5 linked regions of the Canis lupus familiaris genome follow. The protein of the gene in region 1 binds, or shares a complex with, the protein of each later gene. Links are inferred from orthologs where the notes say so. Each region holds a gene or a part of one and is shown in the gene's direction. Other genes may lie near its edges.

What was found.
Region 2: COA1 (region 1) and ECSIT share a complex: the UniProt entries of both Homo sapiens proteins name them as parts of the mitochondrial complex. The link is inferred for Canis lupus familiaris from reciprocal best matches to the Homo sapiens genes COA1 and ECSIT.
Region 3: COA1 (region 1) and SMIM20 share a complex: the UniProt entries of both Homo sapiens proteins name them as parts of the MITRAC (mitochondrial translation regulation assembly intermediate of cytochrome c oxidase complex) complex. The link is inferred for Canis lupus familiaris from reciprocal best matches to the Homo sapiens genes COA1 and SMIM20.
Region 4: COA1 (region 1) and TIMM21 share a complex: the UniProt entries of both Homo sapiens proteins name them as parts of the MITRAC (mitochondrial translation regulation assembly intermediate of cytochrome c oxidase complex) complex. The link is inferred for Canis lupus familiaris from reciprocal best matches to the Homo sapiens genes COA1 and TIMM21.
Region 5: COA1 (region 1) and ACAD9 share a complex: the UniProt entries of both Homo sapiens proteins name them as parts of the mitochondrial complex. The link is inferred for Canis lupus familiaris from reciprocal best matches to the Homo sapiens genes COA1 and ACAD9.

Annotation. Positions count from the first base shown.
Region 1 is NC_049239.1:6,614,033-6,620,452, forward strand, and holds the start of COA1 (cytochrome c oxidase assembly factor 1 homolog), read left to right. Parts: upstream 1-2,313; 5' UTR 2,314-2,332; exon of another isoform or gene 2,333-2,568; intron 2,569-2,748; exon of another isoform or gene 2,749-2,833; intron 2,834-4,711; coding exon of another isoform or gene 4,712-4,723; exon of another isoform or gene 4,724-4,738; intron 4,739-6,420. UniProt on the Homo sapiens protein: Component of the MITRAC (mitochondrial translation regulation assembly intermediate of cytochrome c oxidase complex) complex, that regulates cytochrome c oxidase assembly.
Region 2 is NC_049241.1:50,244,419-50,250,782, forward strand, and holds the start of ECSIT (evolutionarily conserved signaling intermediate in Toll pathway, mitochondrial), read left to right. Parts: upstream 1-2,352; 5' UTR 2,353-2,501; exon of another isoform or gene 2,502-2,636; intron 2,637-2,713; 5' UTR 2,714-2,853; intron 2,854-6,364.
Region 3 is NC_049224.1:85,086,725-85,093,009, reverse strand, and holds the start of SMIM20 (small integral membrane protein 20), read left to right. Parts: upstream 1-2,818; 5' UTR 2,819-2,895; coding exon 2,896-3,004; intron 3,005-6,285.
Region 4 is NC_049222.1:5,152,536-5,158,978, reverse strand, and holds the start of TIMM21 (mitochondrial import inner membrane translocase subunit Tim21), read left to right. Parts: upstream 1-2,787; 5' UTR 2,788-3,562; coding exon 3,563-3,860; intron 3,861-6,385; coding exon 6,386-6,443. Other genes in the region: FBXO15 (F-box only protein 15), read right to left, coding at 2,508-2,635. UniProt on the Homo sapiens protein: Participates in the translocation of transit peptide-containing proteins across the mitochondrial inner membrane.
Region 5 is NC_049241.1:3,201,228-3,206,907, reverse strand, and holds part of ACAD9 (complex I assembly factor ACAD9, mitochondrial), read left to right. Parts: intron 1-150; coding exon 151-229; intron 230-1,438; coding exon 1,439-1,613; intron 1,614-3,824; coding exon 3,825-3,898; intron 3,899-5,680. UniProt on the Homo sapiens protein: As part of the MCIA complex, primarily participates in the assembly of the mitochondrial complex I and therefore plays a role in oxidative phosphorylation.

The DNA of each region.
Region 1 (6,420 bases):
GTTCTGTCTCCCTATTACCCACACATTTTCTCTCCTTTCCACAGGGAGATTTCTTATAAACAACCTAGTCAGTATTCAATTTCATGATGATAGTATTTAAGATTAAGAAAGAACACTGATTCCAACCTAGCTAATGTGAATTTCATTAGTGTCTCTGAGGCAAATATTATCTAGTTTATACCTACTTTTATGACAAGATGTAGGGGCATGCTCAATGCTTTGTGTCAAAATTTTTCCTATTCTCTTAGTAGCTGGGCACTTCCTTAATATGATAAAAGATAAAAGATTTACCTTAGTCTCCCAAGCCAGTAGCATACTTAATGGGAAAGTTCTAGAGATGTCCCGTTAAAGGTAGAATAAGACAAAGAAGCCTATACTATGTTCACTATTATTAAATATTTTTATTGGAAATAACTAGCCAATACAGTTAGATATGACAAATTAGTGGTATAAAATTTGGAAAGGATTTTGTCATCATCTCAATGACATGATTGTAATGATAGAAAATCTAAAAGACCCAACTCCAAACAATAAAATCACTTAGTTAGAATATTAATAAGCAGAAAATGATACTTTCGTGTATATGAACTACCATACGTAGAAACTCTAGTTTCATAGTTCTAGGCTGCTGCTGAGAGAGACACTAGACACGGTGGTTCCATCCTGTTGCTGTTAAGTGCATTTCTTAAAGCAACCATTTGACCACTTAATATCACCCCACAACTGACAGCACTCTAGTCAACCGTCTCTCATCTCTCCACCTCCTACCCCTGCCCTGGATCCTTAGAAGTTAACAGGTAGCAAAACAGATCCTTTCCTTATATATAGGAAAGACAGAAAGAGAGAGAGAGAGAGAGAGAGAGAGAGAGAGAGAATCCAGATAAGGATACTTGTGGCTCTAAGAAGTAGAATCCCTGTCTCAACAACAATAGCTAATAATTTTGGGCACTTACAACATTACTAGCGCTACCTAAACTCATTTTATCTTCACCTCTATCAGAAAATAAGGAAACGTATTAGATATCCCCATAAGAACTTCAGAAAGAGGGTGAGCTCCAGGTTTAAACGACATGAGATTACACTTGACTAGTCCGGTCATGTAACACATCAAATTTAGGGGACCCACCAATGCCGAGACCCTACTTTTTTGGAGGAAAGGTACCTGGACTTCAAACTTACGTGAAAAGAAAAAAAAGTCAATAATGATGGTAATAGTGGCGATAATCATGTGGGAAACAAAGGCAGAAGGAAAATTAATTCCCTCCCTACTTGCAGCCCATTGACGAGTCCTTGAAACGGGCGGAGTGACATTCTTCTACGGGCTCAGCGGCCCCCATGTTGGCTTTGCTAAGGGCAAAAGGGCAACCTTGGCCTGACCCGCCAGGACCCTGCAGGTCTTCTTTAACATATAAAAATTCCTTTGGAAACTTCCTTTATTTTTATTCTGGAGTCAAGATACATGTTAGCAACCATCTTCCAAGCACAGGACCTATGGATACGTATCTGGCGGGGGGGTGGGGGGGGTGGGGTGTCTTATGATCAATGTTTTCTTTTTTTATCTTTTTTTTTTAAGATTTTATTTGTTTATTCATGAGAGACACACACACACAACACGCAGAGACACAGGCAGAGGGAGAAGCAGGCTCTACGCAGGGAGCCTGATGCGGGACTCGATCCCACGACCCCGGGGTCACGACCTGGGCGGAAGGTGGCGCTAAACCGCAGAGCCACCCGGGCGCCCTAAGGGTTTATTAGACAATAATATATGACCTTTTCCCAACAATAACTAACGCCTTCAAGGTCCTGGCAACCTTGTTTCCAGAATTCCTTTGAAACTTACAGACTTAGAGACTATCGCCCCCCACCCCAAGTTGAAGGTGTATAATTACTACCCCTCACGACCCCATGCAGCTTTCTGTCCACAGGTCCTGTCAGTAGACGTTTAATGAAAACCACCTCTTGGGGATCCCCGGGGGGCTCAGCGGTTAAGCACCCGCCTTCGGCCCAGGTCGTGACCCCGGGGTCACGGGATCGAGTCCCGCGTCGGGCTCCTGCGTGGAGCCTGCTTCTCCCTCGGCCTGGGTCTCTCTCTCTCTCTGTGTCTATGAATAAATAAGTAAAATCTTAAAAAAAAAAAAAAAAACCCAAACCCACCTCTTTTGCACGGAAGTCCTCTCAAGAATTCTTCCTCAGCCGAGGGCTTCCCAGGCCGCCATCCTCCTACGCGGTGACGGCAGGACGACCAACAGGGCGGTGGGCACGGCTGCGGCGTACGACCGCGGAGGCCCAGACGCCACCTGAGCGCTTTACATCCTTGGAACAAACGCACCGGGTAAAAATGCTGTTACCGTTCCTCGCGCTACTTAACTCAAGTCGTCTACGTTTTTCTTTTTTTTTCTTCTTCTTCTTCTTGCCCTCGCATTCCCTGGAGCGCCGTAGGCATTTCGCAGCGATTGGATGGATAAGACTGTCGTGCTGCCGTGTGTCAGGCGAAGGCGGCGAGTGGGCTCCGCGGGGGCTGCCGCAGCGGCGCGGCGCGGGGCGGGACAGAAGGGCGGGCTCTGCGGGGCCCACCTCGCTCCCCGGGCGGGGCCGAGCGTCCGCGGCGGCCTCGGCCCGCGACTCCGACCTGGCCCGGCGTGCCCCGCCCCCGCCCCCGCCCCCGCCCCCGCCCCGGCGCGTCCGGACGCTCTAGCCCGCGGGGACGCCGCGCCGGAAGTCTCCGCTGCTCCTCGCGGGGCGGGCCGGCCTGGGGGCGCGCGTACCCGCACTTCCGCCCCCGGAAGGAAGGCAGGCGCGCGCTTCCTGCGGCGCGCGGTTGCGGCCCGGAAAGGTCAGCGCCCCCGCGGCTCCGAGCCTCGCGTTCCTTTCACCCTCGGAGACGTTTGTCGCCGCAGCCTGCACGGTTGCGTGTGTGTGTGTGTGTGTGTGTGTGTGTGTGTGCGCGACGGGGCTGCCGGCGGGGGTCTCCTCCCGGGGCTTGGTCGCGGGGGCAACCCGCCTGCTGCCTGCGTGGTGTCGGGGCCCCTGTGGGCGCAGCGCCCTAGGAGGCTGCAGGGGGCTGCCGGGTGCTGCAGGAGGCTGCCAGGGGCTGCAGGGTGCCCCCCTCGCCCGCCTGCCCCGGGGTTCGGGGGTTCGGGGCCGCCAGCAGGTGGCCCTGCCCCGCCCTAAGCTGCCCTACCCTGCCCTGCCCTACCCTGCCCTACCTAGCCCTGTCCTACCCTACCCTGCGCTGCCCTACCCTGCCCTACCCTGCCTGGCCCTACCCTACTCTACCCTACTCTACCCTGCCCGGCTGGCCCTGCCCTACACTGCGCCGCCCTACCCTACCCGGTCCTACCCTACCGTACCCTACCCTACTCTGCGTGGCCCTGCCCTACACTGCGCTGCCCTACCCTACCCGGTCCTACCCTACCCTACCCTACCCTACCCTGCGTGGCCCTGCCCTACACTGCGCTGCCCTACCCTACCCGGTCCTACCCTACCGTACCCTACCCTACTCTGCGTGGCCCTGCCCTACACTGCGCTGCCCTACCCTACCCGGTCCTACCCTACCCTACCCTACCCTACTCTGCGTGGCCCTGCCCTACACTGCGCCGCCCTACCCTACCCGGTCCTACCCTACCCTACCCTACCCTACCCTGCGTGGCCCTGCCCTACACTGCGCCGCCCTACCCTACCCGGTCCTACCCTACCCTACCCTACCCTACTCTGCGTGGCCCTGCCCTACACTGCGCTGCCCTACCCTACCCGGTCCTACCCTACCCTACCCTACCCTACCCTGCGTGGCCCTGCCCTACACTGCGCCGCCCTACCCTACCCGGTCCTACCCTACCCTACCCTACCCTACTCTGCGTGGCCCTGCCCTACACTGCGCCGCCCTACCCTACCCGGTCCTACCCTACCCTACCCTACCCTACCCTGCGTGGCCCTGCCCTACACTGCGCCGCCCTACCCTACCCGGTCCTACCCTACCCTACCCTACCCTACTCTGCGTGGCCCTGCCCTACACTGCGCTGCCCTACCCTACCCGGTCCTACCCTACCCTACCCTACCCTACCCTGCGTGGCCCTGCCCTACACTGCGCCGCCCTACCCTACCCGGTCCTACCCTACCCTACCCTACCCTACCCTGCGTGGCCCTGCCCTACACTGCGCCGCCCTACCCTACCCGGTCCTACCCTACCCTACCCTACCCTACTCTGCGTGGCCCTGCCCTACACTGCGCTGCCCTACCCTACCCGGTCCTACCCTACCCTACTCTATCTACCCTGCGTGGCCCTGCCCTACACTGCGCTGCTCTACCCTACCCGGTCCTACCCTACTCTGCGTGGTCCTGCCCTACACTGTGCTGCCCTACCCTACCCGGTCCTACCCTACCCTACTCTACCCTGCGTGGCCCTGCCCTACACTGCGCTGCTCTACCCTACCCGGTCCTACCCTACCCTACCCTACTCTGCGTGGCCCTGCCCTACACTGCGCTGCCCTACCCTACCCTGCCCTACTCTACCCTGCCAGGCCCAGTCGGCCCTGCCCTACCTTGCCCTACCCTGCCTGGCCCTCCCCTCCCCTGCCCTACCTGGCCCTACCTGGCCCTGCCCTACTCTACCCTACTCTACCCTGCCCGGCTTGGATGGCCCTGCCCTACCCTACCCTGTCCTACCCTACCCGGCCCTACCCTACCTTGCCCTACCCTGCCCGGCCCTGCGTACCTGAGAGCACATTTGTGAAGAGTGGGGCGTCCCCTCTGAGCGGTGGAATCGGGCACTTTGTTGATGGTCCTGAGTTACAACCCTGTGAGGAAGACCCTGCCTCGATGATCATAGAGAAGAATTTTCTGACAGTTGGTCATGGTGACTTTAGTCCCCATCACTCTTGAATTCCATGCAGGGTTCTGACAGTAGAAATGACTAGATTGTTGGAGACAAGGACATATGAGCATGTGTGAGCGTCAGTCGGTGTGTCGTGTATAATATTAAAAATCCGTAGATTCTTACACTTTGATACTTGTTCCTTGAATGTTCCTCATTCTTACTTGTGCTTTATTTCTAAGGCACTTTTTTCCCCCTCTATTTCATATTTGCATAGAAGTAACAAACCGGGCAGCCCAGGTGGCTCAGTGGTTGAGCATCTGCCTTTGGCCCAGGACGTGATCCCGGGGTCCCAGGATCCAGTGCTAGGTCGGGCTCCCTGCATGGAGCCTGCTTCTCCCTCTGCCTGTGTCTCTGCCTCTCCTCTCTGTGTATTCTTGTGAATAAATAAAATCTAAAAAAAAAAAAAAAAAGTTAACAAACCTCTGCTTAAACTCTGCACATAGAAAATCCATCTGATCGTGTTATTCCCATGCTCACAATCTTACCGGCCTTCCTGTTGATTCAGGGCAATGCGGATTCCTTAGCCCGGCTTCCAGACCTTTCAAGGTCTCCTTGCTGATGCTGAGTTTTTCAGTCTCCTTTGATGGAAAATACGCCAACACACACACCATATGCTCCAGCTACAGTATGTAGCAATTTCATTACTTTGGGTGTGACAAAGTTTTGCAATGGTTTACCTGCCTTTTGAAGTTTATTTTTCCATTTTGTCAGTTTATTGAATTCCTATAATTGCCAGGGACTGTCCTAAGAGCTAGGGATACGCTAGAAAGAAAATCCTTTTAAGAAGTAACAGCTTAATTGAGATAATAGTTCACATACCTGTAGCATTTACCTGTTTAAAATATACATTGAGTTTTAGTATATTTACAAAGTTGTGCAGTCTGTAATCAATTTTAAAGTATTTTCATCACCCCAGAAAGAAGCCTTGACCCATGAGGAATCTTCTGATTTTTTCCCCTACTCCCCCGAGCTCCTACCCCTATGCAGGTACTAATCTGCTGTCTATATATATGCCTATGCAGGCATGTTGTAACTTGTATCAGCGCTTCATTCCATTTTACTGCTAAATAGTATCTCATTGTATGGATATACTACCCTTTATCCATTGGTCCGTTGGTAGACCTTTGAGTATTGGCCATTATGAATACCGCTGCTAGGAACGTTCATGTCCAGGTTTTTGTGTAAACATCATCATGTTTTCATTTCTCTTGGGTATATACCTAAGATTAGAATTGCTCAGTCATATGGTAACTCTATGTTTCACATTTTGAGGAACTGCCAGACTTTTCCAAAGTGTCTATTCTGTTATATTCTGATTGGCGGTATATGAAGGTTCTAATCCTTTCATGTTGTCGCCAGCACTTGTCATTACCTGTTTTTTTTGTCTTTTAAAGATTTTATTTATTTATTCATGAGAGACAGAGAGAGGCAGAGACACAAGCAGAGGGAGAAGCAGGCTCCATGCAGGGAGCCTGACTTGGGACTCGATCCCAGGTCTTCAGGATCACGCCCTTGGCTGAAGGCCAGTGCTAAACCGCGGAGCCACC
Region 2 (6,364 bases), on another chromosome or scaffold:
CCTCAGCAGTGTCCATCCCACTTCCCCATGCTGCCAGCTCCCCACACCACCAGGGGTGCAGAGCAGGGGCAGGAGTGGAGAATGTCCCCCTCCCCAACCCGGGCCCCATTGACTCTTACAGAGCAAGGCTGATGTAAATGCTGATTGTCTCCGAGGAAAGCGGGTTGTACCTGCTGAGAGTGCTGATGCCCAGGGAGAGGAGGATGAATACACACCAGCAAGGGCAAGTTAGGCCTCACCCCTCTCTTGCCGTCGCCCTTTCGGCCCTGCCCCCGGACTACCTGAGGTCCCACTGGAGGCATTTGCTTGAGTCCAAAGCACTCCTAGGCCAGCCAGAGGTTGCTGAATACACGCTGGCTGAGTGCCCAGGGGCTCATTCGGTGCAAGATGAAGTCAGAAGGCTGAACCATGGGGCAGGGGGGTGCCATAGGGATGGCCTGGGGTGGCCATTGTGCTGTGGCCAAGTGCACGCCCCTGGTACTGCCTCTGCCCAACTGCCCAGGTCCCACAGCAAGTGGGAGAATGCCAGCTGCACTATCGGCAATGTTGCCATGACCCGAGGCAAGGGGATTATCTGGGATCACAGGTCTGTTGCACACAGAGGAAGAGAAGTACAAATCCAGAGATCCAGACACTGCATCTCTCACACACACCTAAGGATACAGCTAGCCAAGTGAAGACCCTGGGGGTTGGGGACACACAGTCACACACAGAGATACACATGGGATGCTACAAACACAGTGACAGTCCCCACTAAGGTGGGTGCGCAGTCATACAGAGAGGCATAGAGACATACCATTGTCATGGACATGGCCCCGTAGTCACAGAATCGACTGATACTGAGGCACAAAGACAGTGTCCTGTACGGTCACTGACATGCCAGTGGTGGGGGACAAGCACACCCATACAAGTTAGAGACACACAGGGTGTTAGAGACACATACCAACAGTTGCAAACAATCACACATCAGAGACCGTCCCAGGCTTGGCATAGGCAGACCTGTAATGCCATTGCTGGGACACAGAGTCACACACAGAAATACACAGGGTGTCATGAGCACAGTCATGCATATACAGAGTCAGAAACTAATACAGTCGCACACAGACAGGGGTGAGGTGTCACACTTGCATGTGTGTCTTGACAGTGGACACCACTGATGGTTCATCCACAAGTTGGGAACACACAGGGCATCACAGTCAATGACTTTCCAGTGTTCAAGTGCAATCGCATACACATTATGGCATGGGAATGGTCACAGAAATGTTGACACACCTACTGCTTAGCCCCTCAGAGTTGTGGGACAAAGTCCACACCCTCCCACATGCACAGAATCACAGACACCCAGAAGACTGTACAATTACAGGTGCACATGCAGCCACTGACACGTGGACACACAAGGACCCACATACACCCATGCCCAGACAGGCTTGCTTCCCACTGACATACATGGGGCCCATTCCTGACCCACAGTCACACTGCCACACACATACCTACACACCTTTGCTCAGTTCTGAAATGCTATAAAAATTCACGAAAATCTCCACATCCCAGCAGTACAGTACACACATACGTGCACACCTGGGGCCACAGGGCAAAATCACAAAAACACTCAGAACCCCACTGGACCCTAGGGCCTCAGTGAGGTTGGCCCAAGGTGTCAAACCAGGCTCTTTGCCCTCCCAGTGAGGTAGGTGAAGGGAGGTGTTAGGGTGAATTCCCCGTAACAATGGCAGTTACATGGCTGTTCGGCATAGATTAGCTCAAACTTCAAAAAAATCCCCTGAAGTTATTATAATTGGCCCAGGGTGAGAAAACCCTGGGCACAGATGAGTTAGGCACTAGCCCAGAATCACGGAGCCAATGAGCAGAACTTGTCTCCTTCTCTGCTGTCAGAGCTGTATCCTCACAGCGCTTAAAACTGCGCCTAGCAGGGACGCCTGGTGGCTCAGCGCTTGAGCGTTTGCCTTCGGCCCAGGGCGTGATCCCGGGAGTCCCGCATCGGGCTCCCGGCGTGGAGCCTGCTTCTCCCTCTCCCTGTGCCTCTCATTAATAAATTAAATCTTAAAAAAAAAAAAAAAAAAAAAAGTAAGAAAACCCTGCGCCTAGCACACGGTTAGCGCTCAGTAAAGGTTAGTTGAACAAATGAAGGAATCTCATCACTTCTACCTTTAATATCTCATTCCCACATTTCAGGTGGGAAAACCGGAGCCTCCAGGTGGATTCACAGGGCCCCCAAGTCCAGCCTCCCAGCGGGAACGGTCCACTCACTCTCCCCACCGCCCAGCTCTCTGGCGGTAATGGGGGTGGGACCTGGCCCGGTATGAGGCGGGACCAAGGTCTTTCTGCTTTCCTATTGGTGCTCCTCCATTTGGGGCGGGATCTCTCTAAACCCGCGTTCTTGATTTGCTGCTCCCTGGTGGCCCGTGACCTGGAAGCAATCTGGGTAAGATGGCGGCGCCCAGAGTTAAGACAGAGCCGGGCCGGAGTCCGCGGCTTGCCGCGTGAGTATGTAGGTCGCGCGTGGGGAAAGTGAGCTCGAGCTGCTGGGTCCAGGGGGTACCGGTTCTGGGCCGGCAGGGCGGGAGAGCGGCCCAGGGCGACGCAGCTGCAGGGTCAGGGCACCATGACCTTTTGAGGTGCGGGGCTGGGACGTGCTGGGAAAGGACGCTTTCAATGTACTCACGTCCCCACATCCCTAATCTCCTATTTGCAGATGAGACAGCTGAGGCCCAGAGAGGTTAAGGTCCTCTCCCGAAGTCACGCCGCTAGTTGGCAGCTAGGCTGGAATTCGAACCCACGTCAGTCCGTTTCTCCTAAGGAACCCAGAATCCTGACAGCCAGCCCAGAGCTGCTGTAAGTACTCCCTGCCATGGGGTTCAGACTTCTAGATCATAGACGTTTTGTAGAAATTTAGCTCTTCTCCCCCCTTCAACTGATACCTGTTAGGCACCTACCATATACCAGGCACTGTCCAGGTGCTGGAAACACAGCAATGAAGAAGACAGTCTCCGATCTCCTGGGGGAGCCAGGCGTTAAAAAAGTCAGGAGTGGAGGGAACAGGTGATTTCAGATGTTAATAATTGCTAGTAATTCATTCATCAGGGCGATAGGGGCTTTAAATTGGGAGTGGAGTTGTGGTCAGGGGAAGCCTCTCCTTTGAATATAGACCTGAGTGACCAGAGACAGGTGTGGACTGATCTGGGGGGAGAAATTTCCAAACAGAGGGAAAAGCAAATGCAAAGGCTCTGAAACTAGAATAAATTTAGCTTGTTTGAGAAACAGTGTAGCTAGAGCTGCCAGTAATGAGTTGAGTTTGGAGAAGGGGCACCTGGGTGGCTCAGTCGGTTAAGTATCTGCCTTCCGCTCAGGTCATGATCCTGAAGACCTGGGCTGGAGCTCCTGATTGGGCTCCCTGCTCCGTTGGGGGTTGGCTTCTCCCTTAGCTCCTCTCCCTGCTCATGTACTCTCTCTCAAATAAATAAATAAAATCTTTAAAAAAAAAAAAAGAAGAAGAGTTGAGTTTGGAGACCCTGACTGAGAGGTAGACCCGGACTGAATATTTTAAGTGTAACACTAGCAATTTCTAGTCAGAGAACACTGAATTTAGTTTACATTCTAAAAAGCTCCCTCTGGCCATGGCAGGGAGAATTGACTGGTGGGAAGGCTGGGTAGGTATTAAGGAAAGATCATGGATTGAGGTGGTGGCTTGCAGATGGAGAGAAATGGATGGATTTGAAGTACTCATCAGGACTACTTGGTGAATTGAATGAGGGACATAGTGGACTCAGAAATGACTCCTAGGTCTGTGGCCTGAATGACTAGGAATGGTGGTGTCATTGGGTAGGAGGGGAAGAACAATTTTATTTATTTATTTTTTTTTAATTTTTATTTATTTACGATAGCCACACACACACAGAGAGAGAGAGAGGCAGAGACACAGGCAGAGGGAGAAGCAGGCTCCATGCACCGGGAGCCCGATGTGGGATTCGATCCCGGGTCTCCAGGATCGCGCCCTGGGCCAAAGGCAGGCGCCAAACCACTGCGCCACCCAGGGATCCCGGAAGAACAATTTTAAGCAGAGATATCATTCTGAAGCAAATGAAGTTTGAGATGGCCAGGTAAATGCTTAACTGACTGAGCCACCCAGGTGCCCCTGGAATGCTTTAAAATGCTGATGCCTGGGCCCTACATTTTAGATACTTTGATTTATTATATACAGGGTATATGGCCTGAGCATAGGGATTTTTAAAAGCTCCCTAGATGATTCTAATATGAACAAAGTTTGAGAACCATTAGTGCTGCCTAAAATGATATAGAGAAGAGAGGAACAAATTGAAAGACACCTCAGACAAATCCAGAATGTGGGACTATTTGCAATTTTACTGCTCAAAGTGTGATTCCCAGACCAGCAGCAGCAGCATCATTTGGAAGCCTGTTGGATGTGTAAGGTCTTTAGCTCTACCCCAGACTTGCTGAACCAAAATCTTCATTTTAACAAGATCCTGGGTGATTTATCTGCATGTTCAAATTTGCAGACATTGCAAACTTTTTTTTTTTAAGATTTTATTTATTTATTTATGAGAGACCCAGAGAGAGAGGCAGAGACAGGCAGAGGGAGAAGCAGATGATATGGGACTCAATCCCAGGACCGTGGGATCATGAGCTGAAGGCAGAAGTTCAACTGCTGAGTCACCCAGGTGTCCCAGACATTGCAAACTTTATTTTTTTTTTTAAGATTTATTTATTTATTTATTCATGAGATATATATAGAGAGAAGCAGAGACATAGGCAGAGGGAGAAGCAGGCTCCATGCAGGGAGCCCGATGTGGGACTCGATCCTGGGACTCCAGGATCACGCCCTGGGCCGAAGGCCCGCGCTAAACCACTGAGCCACCCAGGGATCCTCCATTGCAAACTTTAAAGAAGGAAGTGGGTCTTGCTTATTGACTGAGAAAAAGCCTGGATTCTAGGAAAATCTAGAATGCCAAGAAAGTGGGAGGAGGGTCTCACCCATGGTGCATGTTTCTGAGAAATTGAGCAAAATGAGGCCTAAGAAATAATCATTGGCTTTGGTAAGTATAAAACACAAAAGGGAACTTTATAAATGATGTCAGTGAAATGGTTGGGGCAGCAGCCAAGCTTGAGAGGGTGAAGAAGCATAGTTTGTATATGTATATACCTCTTGGGAGAAGCTTTGCTGTGAAAAGTGCAGAGATGTGGAGCAAAACCTGGAGGGAGTCTCTGGGACAAGATGGGAGATGCTAGAGAAAGTTCAAATGGTAATAATAATCCAGACACTTCCCAGCTCATTTTGTGAAGTCAGCATTCCCCGATACCAAATCAGACACTCAAAGAAAACTACACACCATTATCTCTTATGAATATAGATGTAAAACTCCTTAACAAAATAACTAGCAGACCAAGTTTTCGCAACATACAAAAAGGATTATACACCATAACCAAGTGGAATTTGTCCAGAAATTGCAAGATTAGTTTAAAATCTGGAAATCAGTTAATGTAATATGTCATATTAATAGAATAAAAGACAAAAACTACATGATTGTTTCCATAGATGCAACAAAAAGTACTTCACAAAATCTGCTACCCTTTCTGATGAAAACCGTCAACATCTAGGTATAAAAAGGGATTTTTTTTTTTTAAGATTTGTATCTATTTATTCTAGAGAGAGAGAGAGCATGAGAGTGGGTGCAAGCTGGGGAAGGAGCAGAGGGAGAGGGACAAGCAGTCTCCACGCTGAGCACAGAGCCCAATGCAGGACTCAATCCCATGACCCTGAAATCAAGACTTGAGCTGAAATCAAGACTCAGATGCTAGACTGACTGAGCCACTCAGGCACCCCTAGAAGGGAATTTCTTTCACCTTATAAAGGCCATTTATGAAAAACTCACAGCTCACATCATACTTAATGATGAAAGACTGGATACATTTCCCCTAAGATCAAGAATAAGAAAAGGATATTTACTCTTGCCACTTCTTCTTCTTCTTCTTTTTTTTTTTTTAAGATTTTATTTATTTATTTGAGAGAGAGAGAGAGAACATGAGCAGGGGGTGAGGAGAGGGAGAAGGAGGCTCCCTGCTGACCAGGTAGCCCAACTTGGGGCTCAGTCCCAGGACCCTGAAATCATGACTTGAGCTGAAGGCAGATGTTTAACCAACCGAACCACCAGGAGCCTCTATTCCTGTGACTTCTATTTGACATTGTACTAGAGGTTCCAGCAAGGGCACTGGGGAAAGGAAAACACATCCAGTTTGGAAAGGAAGAGGTAAAACTATATTTGCACGTGATGTGATCTGGTATATAGAAAATCCTAAAGAATGCAGTAAAAAGCTATTAAAACTAATA
Region 3 (6,285 bases), on another chromosome or scaffold:
ACCTTTGTCAAATACACAAGTGCTGATGCTTCCTTTTTGTGTTCCCAATCAACTAGTGCAGTGCTTGGCTGGAGTCGGCACACAATAAGGATCTGCCGATTGAATCTGTAGGTCAGTGGGGTCTTCAGAAACGGGGAGAACCTGGGGTTCAAAGAGATGAACCTGTATTGCTTAGGACTCAGTGGCAAGCAAGAGGTAAGTAATTTTTGGTGTGACGATGCTAGCAAGGTGATGAGTGTGTCTGTATAGGTTGTGGCCTGGCCGCTGGTCAGACTAAAACGTTTACATGAACATCAGGGGACAGAGAAGCCCTGCGGTTACTTGCTGCTTGGAGAGGGGGTGGCTCATCTGTCCCACATTAATCCATCTGTGCCTTGGAGGCACTGCGGACAGGAGGTCATCCTGGCGGTCTCTAGCCTGGCTTTCAGAGGCTCCTGTGTGTAGGGCTCATGCAGCCACCCTGCCAAGCTTGCTTATGGAGACGGCCAGGTCTCAGGGAGGAGCCTGTCAGATTAGGAATGAAGACTAAACCCTGGTCCTGGCTCAGCTAATGGTGTGTGGCCCTAAGAGAAGTTTCTGGATCTCAGTGACCTGAGCTATAGAGTAATCCTTGACTTGCAGCCCGTGGATCTGTCAAGGAAACGAAATCCCACTCGCGGTGACTTCATCTGGAACTCCTGTTGTAAACAAAAACAAACAAACAACAAAACAAAACAAAATAAGTCAAACTGGCTTCAGCGAAAAGGGAACTTCATTGGCTCCTATCACTGAGAAGTCCAAGGGCAGCTCCTTTTCCAGGCACAGCCCGCTCCAGGGGCTCAAAGGTAATGTCAGCACCTGATTTCTCTCCATCTCTCGGCTTTGCTTCTGCTGTACTGTCCTCACGCTCAGTCTCCATATGGTGGTGCCCAGTGACCCCAGCGTCTGATCCCCTCAAGCTCAAATCCAGATTTCCAGCAGCTGGGAGACACTATGGTTGGCTCAACGTGGGTGAGGTCATGCAGCCAGGAGGATGCGGCTTCGCTGGACGACCAGGCCTGGGCCCTGTCCCAATCAATCCCTGTGGTGTGGCAGCTTGGTCACTCTTGGCGATCCCCTGACCTCTCAGAGCTGGAAAAAAAAAAAAAAATCATTGGGGTGGGGGTGGGGCAGAGGAGAAGCCCAGTTTACCTCCTCGACTGAATGGGAGAGGAGTGGTTTGCCAAGATGCTCGGGTGCTATTAACAGGAAGACAAGTGGCCTCCCGGTTGCTAACATGACAAAGGCGCGCTCACCTGGGGTTTTATATCACGGGACACAAAGCATATGCATCCCAGCTCCCCTCTCTGCTGGAGGAGTCCTCTGTTCTCACCCTAACAAGCCCCCGCAAGCCCCGAGGAGCTGCTGCCAACCCCTGTAGTCATCTGTCTTCCTCCTGGAAGTCCCGCGGCCGCAGGACCCTATCACTCATCCGCAACAAGCTGCGCCGCCTCCTCAGTCATCTTTTTCTGTATCTGTCCTGTCTCTATCCACGTGGCAGGATCCCGGGGAGCAAAGGGTCACGGCTTATTCATCTTTGCGTCCCTCGGAGCACTTTGCCTGGTGTTTGGGGTACGGCAGAGGGTCCATAAATCTGCCGACGGATCCAACACCTGATTTATCTGCTCGCGGAACCTCGGAGGCAGACGGTAGCTTGGCTCCGCGACAACGCTCCACGGAGAGGACACCTGTGCTGAAAGACCGTACGTCTCTGCAGACTAAATAATACCGCCGGGGTCCGGATGACTAGCCTCTTGCTCCCGGCCCGGGCCGCTGGTAGCATCCTTATTCATAAAGGGTTGAGTGAAGGCCCAAGAAACCTTGATCTCCGCCGCTCCGTACCCCTGGGCACCTCGCCTGCCCCCACAGCGCCGCCTACCCCCAGGAAGGACGGAGGACGGCGACCCTAGGAAGGGGAGGAGCACGTCCAACCTCAGCGGCCCCACCCCAGGCAGTAAGGCACAGCCCCAAGGTCCCATCACTGGGACTGGCCGCGGGCTCCCCGCCTTGCCCGGATCCGACTCCTTCCCCATCCTCATTCGCAACCCAGACGTGCAGCAGAGGGAACGGAGCGGGCAGGCGGAGGCAGGACGGATCTACTTGCCGTCCCGACGTTGACACGAGACTCCTCCCCCCTAGTCCTGATCCCGTAGTCCCGGTGCTCGGGTTAGACGCCCCCTGCAGGCCATCCGGGGCGGGCGCGCGGCCCCGGGCCCCTCACCCCCTCCAGCAGCCCTCCAGGAGGCGCGGTCACTCGTGAAGCCGCGCTTCCCTCACCTGTAAAATGGGCCCACAGCCGGGGGGACTGAATCAGCGAGCCGCGGACAGCACGCAGCTCGGGGCGGAAAGTCACCGAAATCAGATAAGGGTGGGGAGAAGGGGAAAGCGCGGCTGGTCGAGGGGAAAGGGTGACCCAAGAGGTCCGGAGAATGGCGGGGGGAGCAGCGGAGGGGGGGCCGGGCCGCGGGCAGGGCGGGGGTTGGAACAGGGTGTGCACCGCCCAGGGGAGCAAGAGTCCCTCTCGGCCGGCCCAGCCCCCAGCACCGCGGCCGCCGCTCCGAGGCCCCGCCCACCCACAGGCCCCGCCCCGTCCACGCTGTAGGCCCCGCCTCCGGCCCCGCCCACCCGCAGGTCCCACCCCAGGCTCCGCCCACCCCGACGGGCCCGTCCCTCCCACTCTGCAGGCCCCGCCCCCGACCCGCCCACCACGCAGGCCCCGCCCCGAGCCGGCCCACCCGCAGGCCCCGCCCCCGTGCCCTGGCCCCGCCCCCAAGGCCCGGAAGCGAAAGCCGCTCCGCCTCTTCCGAGCGGGGTCACGGCCCGGCGCGCGGGGTCTCGCGGGGTCTCGCGGGGTGCGGGCAGCCCGGGCCCAGCGCCATGTCCCCGAACCTGCGCACGGCGCTCATCTTCGGCGGCTTCATCTCCCTGCTGGGCGCCGCCTTCTACCCCATCTACTTCCGGCCCCTGCTGCTGCCGGAGGAGTACCGTGAGTGCCCTGTGACCCCGCGGGGGCCCGGCCTCGGGGCGCCCGGCTCGGGGCGGTGAGGAGCTGGGCGCGGGGGGCAGGCGGGCCGGGCCGAGCCCTGCGCCGAGCGGCCGCGAGACCCCGCGCCTCCCCCCGGGCGCCCTCCTGACTTGCCCGGTCGTCGCTAACGTGAGACCCGTTTGGCCTCCGTGGAGACTCCCAGGTGGCCTCGTCGTGGTCCGCAGCGCTTACCTGTCCGCGCTCTCGGGGAGCAGGGGCCGGACGCTCACGTGCCAGCCAAACGAGCGTTGGCACTTTTTTTTTTAAAGATGTATTTATTTATTCACGAAAGACACACACACTGAGTGGGGGGGGGCGGGGAGCAGAGCCGCAGGCCCTGCCGCGGGGTCACCCCCCCCCCCACAGCCCGAGGCAGGAGCCCCAAGCGTTGCCACTTCTGACGCCCACGGCGTCGCTTTGAGGTCGTCGTCATGCCCATTTGACAGGCGGGAACACTGAGGCTCCGAGAGGTCGTGCGACAGGCCCAAGGTCGCACAGCCAGTGAGCTGCGAGGCAGGTCTTCCCTCCCCGGAAGGCGGGGCTGGTGATACTGGAGGGAGGCAGATGGAGCCCTGATCATCCTGAGCCTGAAGGTGTCTTTACGGCCCTTCGTTGCCACTCCCAGGGACAGCTTTGAGTGGAAATGTTTCAGACCTACACTGTTAAACCTGGGTGTTTTGAGTTTTTCCCCACATCTTTTTTTCAGCTCCTGCTGTCTTCCTTCATTTTAAAAGCGGGTTGCTCACATGACAATGCCCAATACCCCGGGAGTAATTTTCCTCCTTAATCATTCAAGTTCTATCATCCTAAAAGCCAAACTCTCCTTCCTGGAGACCTATACCTCAGCGAGGATTAGCACTTTGATACATCTGAAACCATCTGTCAGAGAGAAAATATTAGGCATTAGAGGCTCATTTTGTTCTCCAGGAAACCTGAATCATCTTGAAGATGGAAGAGGGCCAGCCCTGCCCCTGGAGACCATTAGCAGAGGCTGAGAGCTTGGCGATGTGAAGGCAGCAGCTCTGTGTAAATGCTCTGCCCGTTACAAATGCTACATTTGGTTTCTGGAGGCAGAGCATTTTAAGCACACACCCGCATTGCCCTGGAGCTTCTTTCATCACCCAGGACCGAGGTGGCCTCTGCATGCTGCCTCCCAGCCTGCGTCCACCTACCCGTGTGCCTGAGGATAAACGGGGGGGCGCTTGAAGCCCCGCGTGGTCTGGTTCCGTCATCCTGACCCGATCCTGCCCCAGGCTGTTTTCTTACTAGGGCATCTAGGATTGAACTTGGGACAAGGGGCTCTGCTCCAGATCCCACTGGAAAGGTGTCTGCCAGGAAGACAAACGCAGTGCCTCTCAGCTGGGGATGCTTTTGTCCCCCAGGGGACATTTGGTTCCATCTGGAGACATTTTTGCTTGTCACAGCTGGGGGTGGAGTGGGGTAGTGTGAGTGTGCTACTGGCATCCAGTGGAGAGAGGCCAGGGATGCTGCTAAACCTCCGCAGCGCACAGGGGAGCCCCCCATGACCTAGATTACCCAGCCCAGGTGTGCATGGTACCAAGCTTGAGACATGCTAGATCAGATGATGAAGGCGTGGACTTGTGCCACGCGTCCTGGCAAGTCTTTTTTTTTTTTTTAACTTTTTTTTCAAATATTTATTTATTCATGAGAGACACAGAGAGAACGGCAGAGACACAGGCAGAGGGAGAAGCAGGCTCCATGCAGGCAGGGACCCTGATGCAGGACTCGATCCCGGGACCCCAGGATCATGCCCTGGGCCGAAGGCAGGTGCTAAACCGCTGAGCCACCCAGGGATCCCTCTGACAATAGTCTCATAGGGATACCCTAGAATCTGTGGTTGTCTGAGTTGCTTGAGACAAAATCAGGGCTTTTAGGTGCATGTTTACTGAGTGTGCCTAAAATGTCTGCATTTTAACTCGAGAGCAGTCAGTCTATGCCTGCCCACCTTTCTGGCTCAGTTTTAGTTAATTGGCCGACTCTTATTTGAGACTCATAGCTGATTCTTTCAACAGGTAAATACTAAACAGCTAGTGTTTTTTGAGAGTTTATGTCTGCCTCTCTTCCCAGCACCTCATATATATATTAACCCACATAGTTTTCATAACCATTTGTTGTAGCTGCTGTGTGATCATCACCCACATTTTATACGTGGACACACTGAGGTCTGGGACAGTTAAGTGACTTGTACAAGGACCCACAGCAGATGGGTCAGACCTGGGATTGGAACCAATGTGCTCTTTCACTACACGAGGGCACCATTTGGTTTCTGAGGCGGTGAGAAGGGAAGCAGGGCAGGTGAGGGTCTAAATCCCTTGCAAGATAAGGGTCTTAAGGTGAGTTACGTAACCTGCCTGAGCCCAGTCTGTTTCTTCATCTGTAGCAGTGGACTTTGCAGGCCTTAATCTATAGGTGTTGGGTGTATTAAATGAGATCACAGGTATGGAAACATCTAGTATAGTTTTATATTAGGCATCCCCTAAAAATGTTTAAAAAAATAAGGAACCAGGGCACCTGGGTGGCTTAGTGGGTTGAGGATCTACCTTTGGCTTGGGCTGGGGTCCTGGGGTCCTGGGATTGAGCCCCACATGGGGCTCCAAGCTTCTCCCTCTCTCTGCCTGCCGCTCCCCCTGCTTGTGTGTTTGTATGCGTGAACACACACTCTCTCTCTCTGTCAAATAAATAAAATCTTAAAAAAAAAAAAAAAAGAGGAGCTATAAGGCAAGGATGTAAGGAGATTTAAGCCCGGCTGGCTGACCTGTCACTAACCTGGGGTCCAGGCAGGTGAGGCATTGGTGACCGGGCCATGGAAGCCTGGCCTGTCTGTAGGGAGGATGGAGCTGCAATTCATTTCAGCACCTTGGACTAGTCTTTGCATTTTTTATAACCTGGATTTTAGCAACGGCTGTGTACCTGGTACTGCGTTAGGTGTCGGGTATACGTGACTGTACAAGATGGTCAGAGCGCTTCTGTCCGTCTCACTGTCCCCACCGTCATCCAACCCATTTCCTTCACCCGCTCCTTAGACTCTGAGCTGGTCTCCCTGCTTCTGCCAAGCCCAAATCCTGATTCCCTACCCAGCAGTCACAGTTGCTAATTTTCTCTGGTTGCTCTTTTGTTGCCAATTTCTACTTTACTTGCATTTGTGGTTAAAGAATGAGGACTATATGATTTTGATTCCTTGATATTGGTCAGGATTTGCTCTGTGGGCTTAATACAGGTCA
Region 4 (6,443 bases), on another chromosome or scaffold:
TACCTACAGTTGAACTACTTAACATTTTTCCCCAAAGCCACTGCATTAATTTTACATCGCAGGAGGATGCTCCATGCATTACCTGCCCACTGGCACCTGTTTGAGAAATACAGCCTATCTGTTGCTGTTTTGCTTTTCCATAACTAAAATAGATTTCATATGTCCATATTTGACAAATCAAAGATTACCGAAGTTCTAACAAGGCAATCACAGGGATTCATTTGAGGTCCCAAGACAGAGGTCCAGAGCCCAAGAGACTCATCTCCTGACTGTCCTTCCAGAGCTCTTCTCACCGTATTATATTCTATATCCTATTAGTATGGTTTTTGGTATATTGAAAGTACATTTCCATTTCTCCATAAAATAAACCAACTGCATATTTTCTAGGGCCACACAATTAACAAGTCAGTAAGTTGCATGCATGTCCTCATGTAGATTTATGGGTCTACAAAATTAAGCGCATACTTAGCTGACATAATTAGTAAGATGACATTTTGTTTGAAAACAATGTTTTCGAGTAATACATTTTGCCTGATAGCCTTGAATATATTCACTATTTTTTAAGTTTACCTTAAAAAATTATCTTCTGAGCCTGATTTTTGATATATGATAAACCAAAGAAATTAAATCAAGTCCAAATTAAGCCAACCTAATATGCTGCCATTTTTCTCAGCTCATGATATTTACACATATTCACATCTTTCATTAAAAAGGGAACCATGGACTCCTTATTAAAATCTAATTTTTCTGTAGTAAAACAATAAAAATCACCACCCACTTAGACCATCTGCAATCATTTTCAGCAGCTTATTTTCCTTCCCATAAAGAATGCAGACCTCACCAAATCACAGGGTGACAAGCAGGCTCCCTTGCCAGGCACTCTAAGTACGTCATTACCAGGATGTTCACTCAACTTACAAAGTAATAGAAGATTCATCACATAAAAATCATTCTGCTCCCCACTGACAGAGCTCTATATATAAAGACTAATTTTAGTGTTAGTGGCAAATTGATCTAAAGTTCAGACCTCAAATTTAAATGCTCCTACAGAAGTTTTGAAGGCATTGTCACCATTTTAGTTGTCACAAGTCCTGTGGTATATCCAGCACTGCAGCTACACTCAAGAACCAACTACTGCCATAATACAAAGGTGCAGAGCACCACTTCCAAAAACAACATGACAGGGTTATGGACCCTTGGGTGAACATGGGACGTAGTCCTGGAGATTCGGGAAAACAAAATTCAAATTGTCGATTGTTAAATAACAATTGTTTTTTCTACATAAACACAGACATTCGGTTTATTAGAAGACACGATACACATGAGTTCTTTGTATCTTACAAATCACAAGGACGTGCAAGCAAAGAGAATCATCAAGGTTGCAAACTGCTCTTCATACTGTCACTCCACCTGGCACACTAACCGAGATGATGGCTGTAAAGTTAGGGACCACTCACCACAAGGGACCATGACAGCACCTCTGACAAACTGGATCATTCACTCTGAAATCAACCAACCTTTGGAGTTAAGCTAAAGAGCCTTCTGGATTATAGCTGCAGCATCCTGCTTCTTGCCCCTTCCCCATCACCTCCAAGTTGCCTTCTCTCACTTAACAAGAGGACCACCCTTCAGCCGCAAGGTGCCCAAGGAAGAGAGGCAGAAGGGGATCAGGGGCCTGAACACCAAGGAGTGGCTATCAATAAGCATCCCTTCAGGGTTTGCCTAGCAGACCTATGGGGCTTCTGGGTGGCTCAGTTGCTAAGCAGTGGACTCCTGATTTCAGCTTCCACCATGATCTCAGGGTTGTGAGATGAAGTCTCACAGTGGAGCCTGCTTAAGATTCTCTCTCTCCCTATTCCTCTGCCCTCCCCATCTCTCCCTCACTCTCCCCCCCCCAACTCCATGGAAAGAAGGAAAAAAAGAGTAAAAAGAAACCAAACGAAAGGCACTGGAGGCCTCGAAATCCGAAATTCAGAAAGCTCTGCCCCAGGAAAACAAACTCCCAGACCAACCCGCCCACCAGAATTATCTGCTTAGAGGTTGTGTCCTCCATTCAGGAACCATGGGCGGGAGAGAAAATCGGTAACCTTTTGATGAGTAGATTCCAGAGCCTAATAAAAAGAACGAAAGGTGATTTTCCAGCCCCAGAAGACACAAGCTACTTTAGGGATGAGCTTTGAACGGGTGCCCTTGTGGCGACCCGCAGGTGCAGACCAGGGATGTGCACCTGCCCTCGCAGGTGGAGCGCATCCCGCAGGAGGCGCTGCTCCAGGGCTCCCAGCTCCCCACAGCGCCTACAACTGAATGAAGGGAAGGAGGAAGCCTGTTCCCCGGGTGGGGGGGAGCTAGGCTACTTGTATCAGGACGTGGGGTCTCCGCATGTTTCCAAGTTGAGGGGACGTCCTCCCGCGGTTCTCTGGACCTCTCCTGCACTAAGAACAGCCGAGAGTGAAATTAGTGGGGGAAGGTGCCGGGTACCGCCCCGCCCCGCGGCCCCCGACAGTCACCTGAACCCCGCGGGCCCGGGGGCCTCCCCGGCCAGCCCCGGGGCCGCGCCGACGCCGCCCGGCGGCCAATGCAGCGCCAGGAGGCCGCGCCAGTGCTGCAGCAGGAGTCGGCCGCGTCCCGTCGCCATGGAGACCCGGCGGGAGCGCCCGAGGCGGAGCGACGACGGAGGCAGGAGCGCGCCGCCCCACGCCACGCCCACTCGACGCCGGCGCGCGTGCGCAGGGGCGGGACGGAGGGCGGCCCGCCCTTCCGCCGGCTCGAGGAGCGGTTCTGGAAACTTCCGGGCCCTGCTTCTTCCCACGCCCCGCGGCCTGATGCCGAGGTCGCCGCGTGGCAAGCGGGCCGCCGAGTTTCGGTCCCGGGTGGGGGCACTGCCGCAACCTCGTCTCTCCCCAGCCGCTGGCTTTGGGGAAGTTTGTGCTGCCTCCCGTCTGGTGGCCTTGGGAAGAAACTGAAACACAGGCTACATCATTTCCCCACAAGCAACAGCAGAGCCATAGTCAGACTGAGAATTTCGCAGTTTACAGTCCTCTCGAAGGGCTGCAAGAACACCCAGTTCGTAATCGCTAATTTGATTGCCGCCCGTTGAGCGATCGCCCCGCCCACCCTGGCGCCAAATAGGTGGAGCGCATGCGCAAGGAACTCTGGAAGGTGGCGGAAAGGCCACGCGCTGTCTGGCCGCCTTGCACTGTGGGAGTTGTAGTCCCGGTGCCTTTCCCGCTGCGGTAGCTCTGCGAGGAGTGAGGGCCTCGGACTACTGTTCCCAGGACTCCCCGAGGTGTCCCAGGTTACTTTGCAGAGGCATGGCGGGTAGTGTGTGAATGTCAATACGGCAGGTAATTAAATCACTTTAATTCTAGTAGAAAGAGCGCAGAAGGGAAGAAGAGGTGGACACGGCTTCTTTCGGGAGCTAACTTTTTTGCCGAACAAGCCGTGCAGAATCACCGATGTGACTGTGTAGCGCTGAGGACACTCTGGCTGGGCGTGTATTGGGTGGTGAAGCTTTGCGGTTCCCCGCTGGCACCTTTGTAAAGCGGAGCGGTTTTCTGTGATCATGATTTGTACTTTCTTACGAGCTGCGCGGTGTGCGGAGAAGCTGTGCAGGTCGTCAGGGAAGCCGTTGTTTCCGCCACACTTCGTGCTTAACAGAGCTCGCTTGAAGACCGCGTCGGGTTTGAGCTGGGGTCTGCGAGAGCAAAAGAAAGCGGTACGACCTGAGAGTATCCTTGGAGTCACCCAGAAAACCATCTGGACGCAGAGGCAGAGCCCCCAGAGGGCAGGAGACGACGGCAGCAAACAAGTGTCCGTGCACAGCCAGAGAGGGGAACCCGTCGTCTCAACGTCACAGAAAGGTAACGGGAGTGATGAGTCTATCAGCAAACGTGGCGAGAGCGAGCAGGGTCCCTCCTTCGCACAAGTTCAGGGCTAAAGGTAGAAAAACGGTTCACGCAAATTAAAAGGTAGGACCGTTCAACACAGTGCAGAGTTTGAGACTATAGACCCACAGACTTCTTTTCTTCACAGACTTGAACTCGGATTTCAAAGTTGCTTTTTAGGTGACTTTGTTGAGTTGTGGCGAGAAAATGTTTCCCAGCTTTTATTACAACTTAACCGTTGTTGAGTACTTGATAGTAAGTCAGTAGACTTCACAGATGTGGTTTACCACAGTTGAGTTTCCTGTTCCCTCCCTCAAACATTAAAATTCTGTGTGTGAGGCACACTTCCCCAGTTTCACACAACGGAAAATTAAAGCCACATCTTCTAATCTTCATTTCCTAGTACCCAGGTCATTGCTCTTTAGAACAGCCGTTCACCAGTAGTTCTTGAGCTTCCATTTCCTCTGCGTACACTTGAGCAGATGCTAACGGGTGTGCCAGAGAGTTCCTGTACACAAACAGATGCACTCAATGAGGAGGAGGTAGGTACAGTGTGAAACAATGAAAACATGGTAGTTTGCTGCAAAGAGTACCAGAGAGCACAAAATAGATAGAGTAATTGGGTAGAATAAATAAAAGAAATACTATTGAGGCATAATCCGTGGGGACCTACTCAACGTAGGTCAGCCCAACACTGCTCCTGAATGACTGCGACGCCCAGATGTTGAGTTAGACTCTTCACGCTACAGAATTAAAGGTGTTCCAAACCGTTTACCTCCAAGTGACACGAGAAGTGATAGAAAGAACATATGTAATACGGAAGGCACAATGTCTTTCTGTCAGGGAAAGTCAGGTTTTCACAGATGAGATGATGAATTTAACGTTTATTGTTTATTTCTTCATTTCACGGTAATTTGTGGAAAAATAAGTAAAAAGGAAGCAAAGAGTTCAGACATCTTGATTTTACCATGCAGAGATGACTTTTGTTAATATTTTGCTCTATGTTATTTCCGTGCATATACTTTTTTTTTAGTGCATATATACTTTTTAACATTAACAAAAAAACCTGTATCCTAGCAATTGTTTTGTAATCTGTTGAATATGTAAAATACATGTTCATTCATTCATAATAGCCTGAACAGAGCTGTGAGGGATGATTAAAAGTTCAGCATGAATGAACAACCTGTATGCAGAGGGCAGAGGCAGAGACTGTCAAACAGCATGTGTCAGGTTGTCGCTCCAGCAATAGGGCTGCTTACGCTGCAGACGGGTCCTGCTGCAGAGTCCTGTCCTGATCTGGACCCCATTCAAAGGCAACAGCCTTCCTGGTGACTCAGCGAATGAGTGGGAGCAGTATTCCCAAATGTGGGATATGCTGCCCACAGCGTCCAAAGGAACCTATCACACACCACACTAGGGTATACAAGATGCAGTAGTTTCTTTTATTTGAGATGGAGTGTCTTAGCATGCCCCATGCAGTATACCCCTAAGGGTTTTGCTCATGTGGTTGGTGAGCTCTGGATCTGTTTTTTGGCCTCATCCCCCACATTTGGAGTACCTGTGTTTACCAAGCTTCCTGACACACATGCCACTTGTTACTTTGGGCTCTGACGAATATGATGGCATAAATAGAATGGACTATTGTGATGTCTTGCAAAATGTCCACAACAGCATTGTCCAAATAAAACTTTTCGCAGAGACAGAGATGTTCTGTACGTATGAGGTCTCTACATGTGGCTGTTCAGCACTTGAAATGTTGCTAGTGTGATTGAGGGACTGAGTGTTTAATTTTAAGTTAACGTAACTTTAAAATAACACTCACATAGCCATGTATGGTGTGTGGTTACTCTACAGGACAGCCAAAGTCCAGAAGGCTCAGGTCCCTAACAATCACATTGTAACACATACCTAACAAATCCTAGGTGAGACCATACATAGACGTTGTTGTCATTTTGTGTTCCAACAAGCACTACCTGTTGGTAGCAGGTGCTTCGTATTCTAAGTTTATCCGATTATCAGCTCTGGCCAAGCAAATTCCTTTTCTGAATTCCATTCTGCCAGTGGGGGCAGCCTGGTGGGAAGGTGACTGGAAGAGTTGAGGCCTATGCTGATCCCTTGGACTACAGTTAACAAAGCAAACACTTCATCTGTGAACAGAATGTGACCGGCACTGCCAAATCTGTAACATGTTTTCATGCCGAGGGCCTGGGGCACTTGTTTCAAGTGTTTTGTCATCTTAGAAAGTAAAGAAGTGTTAAAATTATACTACTAAATAAAATTAAAATACAAATTCCTTGGCCCAGAATTCTGCTGAGGTTCTTTTGAAAACTTTCTTTAGGTGGTTCTGATTTGTGGGGAGGCTTGAAAGCAGCTGTTCCAGCATGCATGCAGACCCCCCCGTAGGGTCCTGGGTCCACATCTCACCCTCCAGAAGTGCTGAAGCCATGCGCGTTCCTGCCCATCTGGCACACCTCTAACTCAGTGGTGCTTTCTGTTTACAGTGAAAGAAGCTGGAAGAGATTTTACCTATTTGATAGTGGTGCTTATTGGAATCACCGT
Region 5 (5,680 bases), on another chromosome or scaffold:
TGCAAAGCTGAATACATTTATTATCTGGCCCTTTATTTTTAAAAGTTTGCCAACCCCTGTGTTAAAGTACCAAACCCTCCATTTTTAGCCCCAGAACTGTTCTCCATCCCTGGCATCGCTCTCCTCAACTGCGTGTTTCTGTTCCCACAGTGGCAGTGATGCGGCCTCCATCAAGACCAGGGCCACGCTGAGTGAGGATAAGAAGCACTACATCCTCAATGGCTCCAAGGTAGTTGTCTGTGGCCTGCCGAGCATCTTAGCTATGGCCTGCACTGCGTATTGACCACTCCACACGCCTTGGGCCCTAAAGCACATGCACATCATCTCTTGTATGCTGTTGAGGCAGCTCTCAGATGGATGTTACTCTCTCTCTCTTTTTTTATAGATTTTATTTATTTATTTGAGAGAGTGCACAAGCTGTGGGGGAAGGACCGAGGGAGAAGTAGACTCCCCACTGAGTAGGGAGCCTGATGCAGGAGCTCGATCCCAGAATCCTGGGATCATGACCTGAGCCCAAGGCAGATTCTTCACCAACTGAGCTATCCAGGCACCCAGATGCTATTCTCTTTTTTTGGAAGAAGATACTGGCTCAGAGAAGTAAAGTGTCTTGTCTTGCAAGCATCCTATGTCTGCTCAGTGGCAGAACCAGGATTGGAAGCAAGTTGGAAGCAAGGCATTCTGGCTCCAGAGTCTACATGCTGATGCAGAATCAGCTACCTCCCTGAGCTACTGTTGTGTGTTCTTTTAATTTATTACACAAACTTTCAAATACATAGAAAAGGTTAGTGTAATGAACTTGCACGCAGCTGGCACCAGCTTCAGCAGTTAACTAGCTCCTAACCCACCTTGTTTCCTTGCTCAGCATCCCTGCATCACATCCCTGAGAGTTTCAACACATCTCTACAGGATAAGACTTAAAAAAACAAAGTCAAAATGCCATTAACACATTTAAAAATTTATCATTTCTTTGTGTAGTCAGCATTCCAGTTTCCCTGGTGTCTCATACCTTTGTATTTTCCAACAATTTGCTTGAATCAAGAGCCAAATAAGTTTCATACATCCCAGTTTGTTGAAAAATCCCTTTATCTCCCCCCCACCCCCCCACCCTTCCTGTCTCCTTATTCCTGCCTGCCTGCTTTGCTTTCTTGAGGACACGTGACTCCTTGATTCTAAGAGCGTGGACTGTCTCCGTACCATTGGTTTCACGTCTGTGCACACACACACACATTGTGCCTCTTGGGGAAATCCTTGATCTGGGGAGACTGGGTGAGCCCCTGTCTTCTGTCCACACAGGCTTGGCTTTTCCAGCACCAAGAGCTTTACGCTTCTGGCCTGAGGTTTGACAAGCAGCTGGGGTGTCTCTTGGGAAAGGGTGGAGCTGAGAGGTGGTGTATGACAGTCCAGTTTTCTCCAAACCCCTTTTTCTTTCTTTGCTCAGATCTGGATCACCAATGGAGGAATCGCCAATGTTTTTACTGTGTTTGCAAAGACACAGGTGGTGGATTCTGACGGCTCCGTAAAAGACAAAATCACAGCACTCATAGTAGAGAGAGACTTTGGTGGAGTCACTAATGGGAAACCCGAGGATAAATTAGGCATACGTGGCTCCAACAGTAAGTAGCGGGGGGAGGGGGCACCCGGGGGGGCACCCCTCAGCCCAATCCAAATTCAAGATAAAATGAGATGTAAATAGTTTTGGTTCCACATAAGCATGTCAGCAAAATCACATTAAGAATGCTATGGTGACTCCATGGCAGTGTGGAGGAGCTCATTGAAGCTAATTTACTCTATCAACACATGTTGCTTGTATCCCCCTCCATGCAGCAGGCATACTAATCTCCATGTGAGCTCATTGCAGCCTTGTGGAGCACTTTGTCCCATGGGGGAGGCAATAGTGGACACCAAGGAGGCAGAGGGTATCCGAGGTAAACACTTCACTGCAGGACACCGTATCTTTCCTACCTAGAACCTCCTGCCTTTTGCTCTCCCTCATACCCCCCCCCCCCCCCCCCCCCCCCCAGGCCCACCTGCAGCTCCTGGACAGCACTTGGTCCCCTTGAGGCTGGTGTCCTGTAAGTGGCTCTTGTCCTGACCAGCACTGTCACAGAGTCCTCACAAGACTCTGCCTCTTGGGGCTCCTAGTTCAGATCGTGGAGTATCTGTGCTGCAGGGGACTGTCTGCTGCCCTTGGTGCCTCCAGACCCGCTTCTGTTTGCCATCCCGTCTTGAGATCCTGGGTTCTGTATGGCAATATTTGCTACCTCGGCCTGGTTCGATGGGGTCAGAGGACCCTGAGCACTGACTTGGCTCCAAGAAACTCCGTGACTTCAGACAAGCTAGTTTACTTTCCTGTGCTTCCTTTTCCTCACCTATTGCAAAGAGGTGATAACGCACATAGCGATGTGACCTGGGAAAGGAGTGTTTGGATGCCTGTACAGTGCTTTCATGCACATGGAAGCAGGTTGTACCACCAGACTGTTCTGCTTATTCATACGTAGAACATTCCAGCAGAGGAAAGAGTGTTCTCAAAGGCCCAAGATAAAGAGCCTGGTGTGCTGGTGAGAAGATGGTCAGTGTGACCCAGGTGAGGGGGAGAGCAGGGTGGTAGCCCTGCACCACTGCCAGGGCAGTGTCCATAGTGAAGTCAGGGTAGGTGCTGCCCCTGGGATGCAGCAGCCCCACAAAGAGTGGATCGAGTGGCCCAGGTGAGGTCAATGAGGAGGGTCCTCCCCACACAAAGTAGCCTGTGAAAGAATGAGAGCCACTAGGACAAGGGCCTGGCCCTGTAGCCCATGTGTCATAAAAAAGGAGCCAGCAGCCACCGAAATGATTTCATTATATTTCACAACCAAGCTATTGGAATAGAATAGTCAGCAGACCTGGTTGCTCACACCTAGCTTGCTTGCTGTTTGGCTCCTTTTGAGCCATGACCTTTGTCCTGAGTCTCCCTTTACTCCAGTGTTAAGTTGCCAGGAGTTGCAGTCTTGATGTGACAGCATGTGAAGACATGTTGCTACAGAAAACATGGTGCAAAAGTCCCCATTGCCTCCTGCCTCTGTCCTTGCCACTGGCACCTTTCCCCTCTCTGCCTGCCTCTGCACACTAAGCGCTTCCTTACTTCAAGGTCTGCCACTGTCACCCTGTCTGAGGATCCACCCCAGCGCTTATCTGAGAGGGTGAGCCTTTGTCACCCTCAGTCTGCAGGTGCTGGGTGGCCTGCTCCGGGCTGTGGTTGGATCCCGATCTGCTGCATTTGTGTACCGTGCTAGGGCTTGTTCTCATAGCAAATCACAGGAGCGTCTGGGGGCCTGAGCCAGACCACCCAGCACTGGGAAGGCCACGGCTCGTGTCAGGTGGGTTCTGTGTCCCTGGTGACAGCTGGAGGGACAAGGCAGGGAAAGGCAGTTTGCTTCCACAGAGGCATAGTGCAGGGTGTGACTACATCTGAGTTAAGTGGGATCCATCCTCCTGTTGAGTCCAGGGACCTCAGAAAGTCTGTGCCATCCACTTTCATGGTTCTTCCTCTGGCTTGTGCTCCTCCTTCAAACTTCTGCTGAGTGTCCTCTTAGAAAAGCCTGATGGAAGCCCTTAACAAAAATACTATTTACTCTCTCTCTGACCTCTGTCCCCACTCTATTTCTATTTGTAGTATTAGAACATCCATCATGTCCCTAGCAAAATATGAGCTCCATGTGGACAGGACCTTTGTCTTTCAGTAGCTGGAGAATGAGTTGAATGAATGAATGAATTACATTTCATGCCTATTGATCAAGTGCAAGTAGTCTGTACTCATTACATAAGGCTTTCAATTTCATCTTTTTCAGCTTGCGAGGTCCATTTTGAAAACACCAAGGTGCCCATCGAAAATGTCCTTGGAGAAGTCGGAGGCGGGTTTAAGGTGCGTTTTGAAAGCAGCCCCTGTGAGGACAGCGTGTGGATTCATGGTACAGCTTGTGGGCCCCAACTTCCTGTCCCATCCCTGCCTGTAGCTGACCAGTGCGTGCTTGCCAGATGACTGTGCAGAGTTCTTCGATGGGAAATTAACAGAATGGAAAAGTTGGCTCCCAGAAGAGGGAGTGTGTCATCTGTGAGGCTTCCTTTGCCTTGAGCAGGGAAAGGATTCCTCTTCCCGATGAGTGAAAGAAAGCAGACCAGTGGGCACTGAAGCAGCTCAGGTTCTCTGAATGCACAACCCTGGGTCCTGAAGCCCTTCCCTAATTTTTTTCTTGGAGTTAGATTATTATTTTGTTTAATTGACCTATAACTCCCATCACATAAATACACAATTTTTAAATGTACTCAGCATTATTTAGTTTATTCACTATGTTGTACAACTATCACTGTGGCCTAATTCTGGAACATTTTCATCCCCCGAAAGAAATCTTCTCATTTCCCAGTCTTTGGCAATTGCTACTTTACTTTGTTTCTGTGGATTTGCCTATTTTGAACATTTCATGTAAATGGAATCTATATGCAATCTTCTGTGTCTGGCTTCTTTCTCTTAGCATAATGTTTTCAAGGTTAATCCACGTTGTAGCACTTGCCATTCCTTTCTGTAGCTGAATAATATTCCATTGTAGGGACACACCATATTTGTCTGTTCATGAGCTCATGGACGTTTGGACTGTTGACACATGGGGACTATTATCAGTAATGCTACTGTGAATATTCATATACAAGTCCTTGTGTGAACTGTATGTTTTCAGGTCTTTTGGGTATATACAGCTAGAAGCAGCATTGCTGGATCATATGGTAACTGTATGTTTAATTTTTTGAGGAACTGCCGGACTGTTTCCCACAGTGGCTGCACCATGTTTCATTGCCCATGGCGGAGTAGAAGGAAGGGTCCAATTCCTCCACGTCCTCTCACCAGTGCTTGTTATTGTGCATTTTTAAAATTATAGCCATCCCAGGGAGTGTGAAGTGGTATCTCATTATGGTTTGGCTTACATTTACCTAGTGACTGACCAGGTTGAGCATCTTTCCATGTGCCTACTGGCCATTTATACATCTTCTTTGGAGAAATGTATTTTGAAATCCTTTGGCCTATTTTTTTTATAAAGCCTTTTTTTTTTTTTTTTTTTTTTTTTGTAATCTCTACACCTCTCGTGTGGCTCCAACTCATGACTGAGATCAAGAGTGGCAACACTCCCCCTGACTGAGCCAGCTGGGTACCCCCTCCTTTGCCCATTTTTAAACTGGCTATTTGTCATTTTTTTTCCTTCTTTTTTTTAAAGATTTTTTTTTTTTAGAGGCACCTGGGTGGCTCAGTTGGTTGGGTGTCTGCCTTCAGCTCAGATCATTAGCTCTGGGTCCTGGGATTGAGCCCCTTGTCATCATTGGTCGTCATTGTTTCATCGAGCTCCCTGCTTAGGAGTCTGCTTCTCCGTCTCCCTCTGCCTGCCTCTCCCCCTGCTCGTGGACTCACTTTCTCTCTCTCTCTCTCTCTCTCTCTCTCTCTCTTTCAAATAAATAAAATCTTTTTAAAGATTTTTTTTTTTTTTTTTAAAGAGAATTCAAGCGAGGGTAACTGACAGGGAGTGGCAGATGTTGGATCCCTGCTGAGCAGGGAGCCTAACACAGGACCTGATCCTAGGACCTTGGCATCATGATCTGAGCTGAAGGCAGATGCCCAACTGACTGAGCCAGCCAGGCGCCCCTGATTATTTTTCTTTGTTGT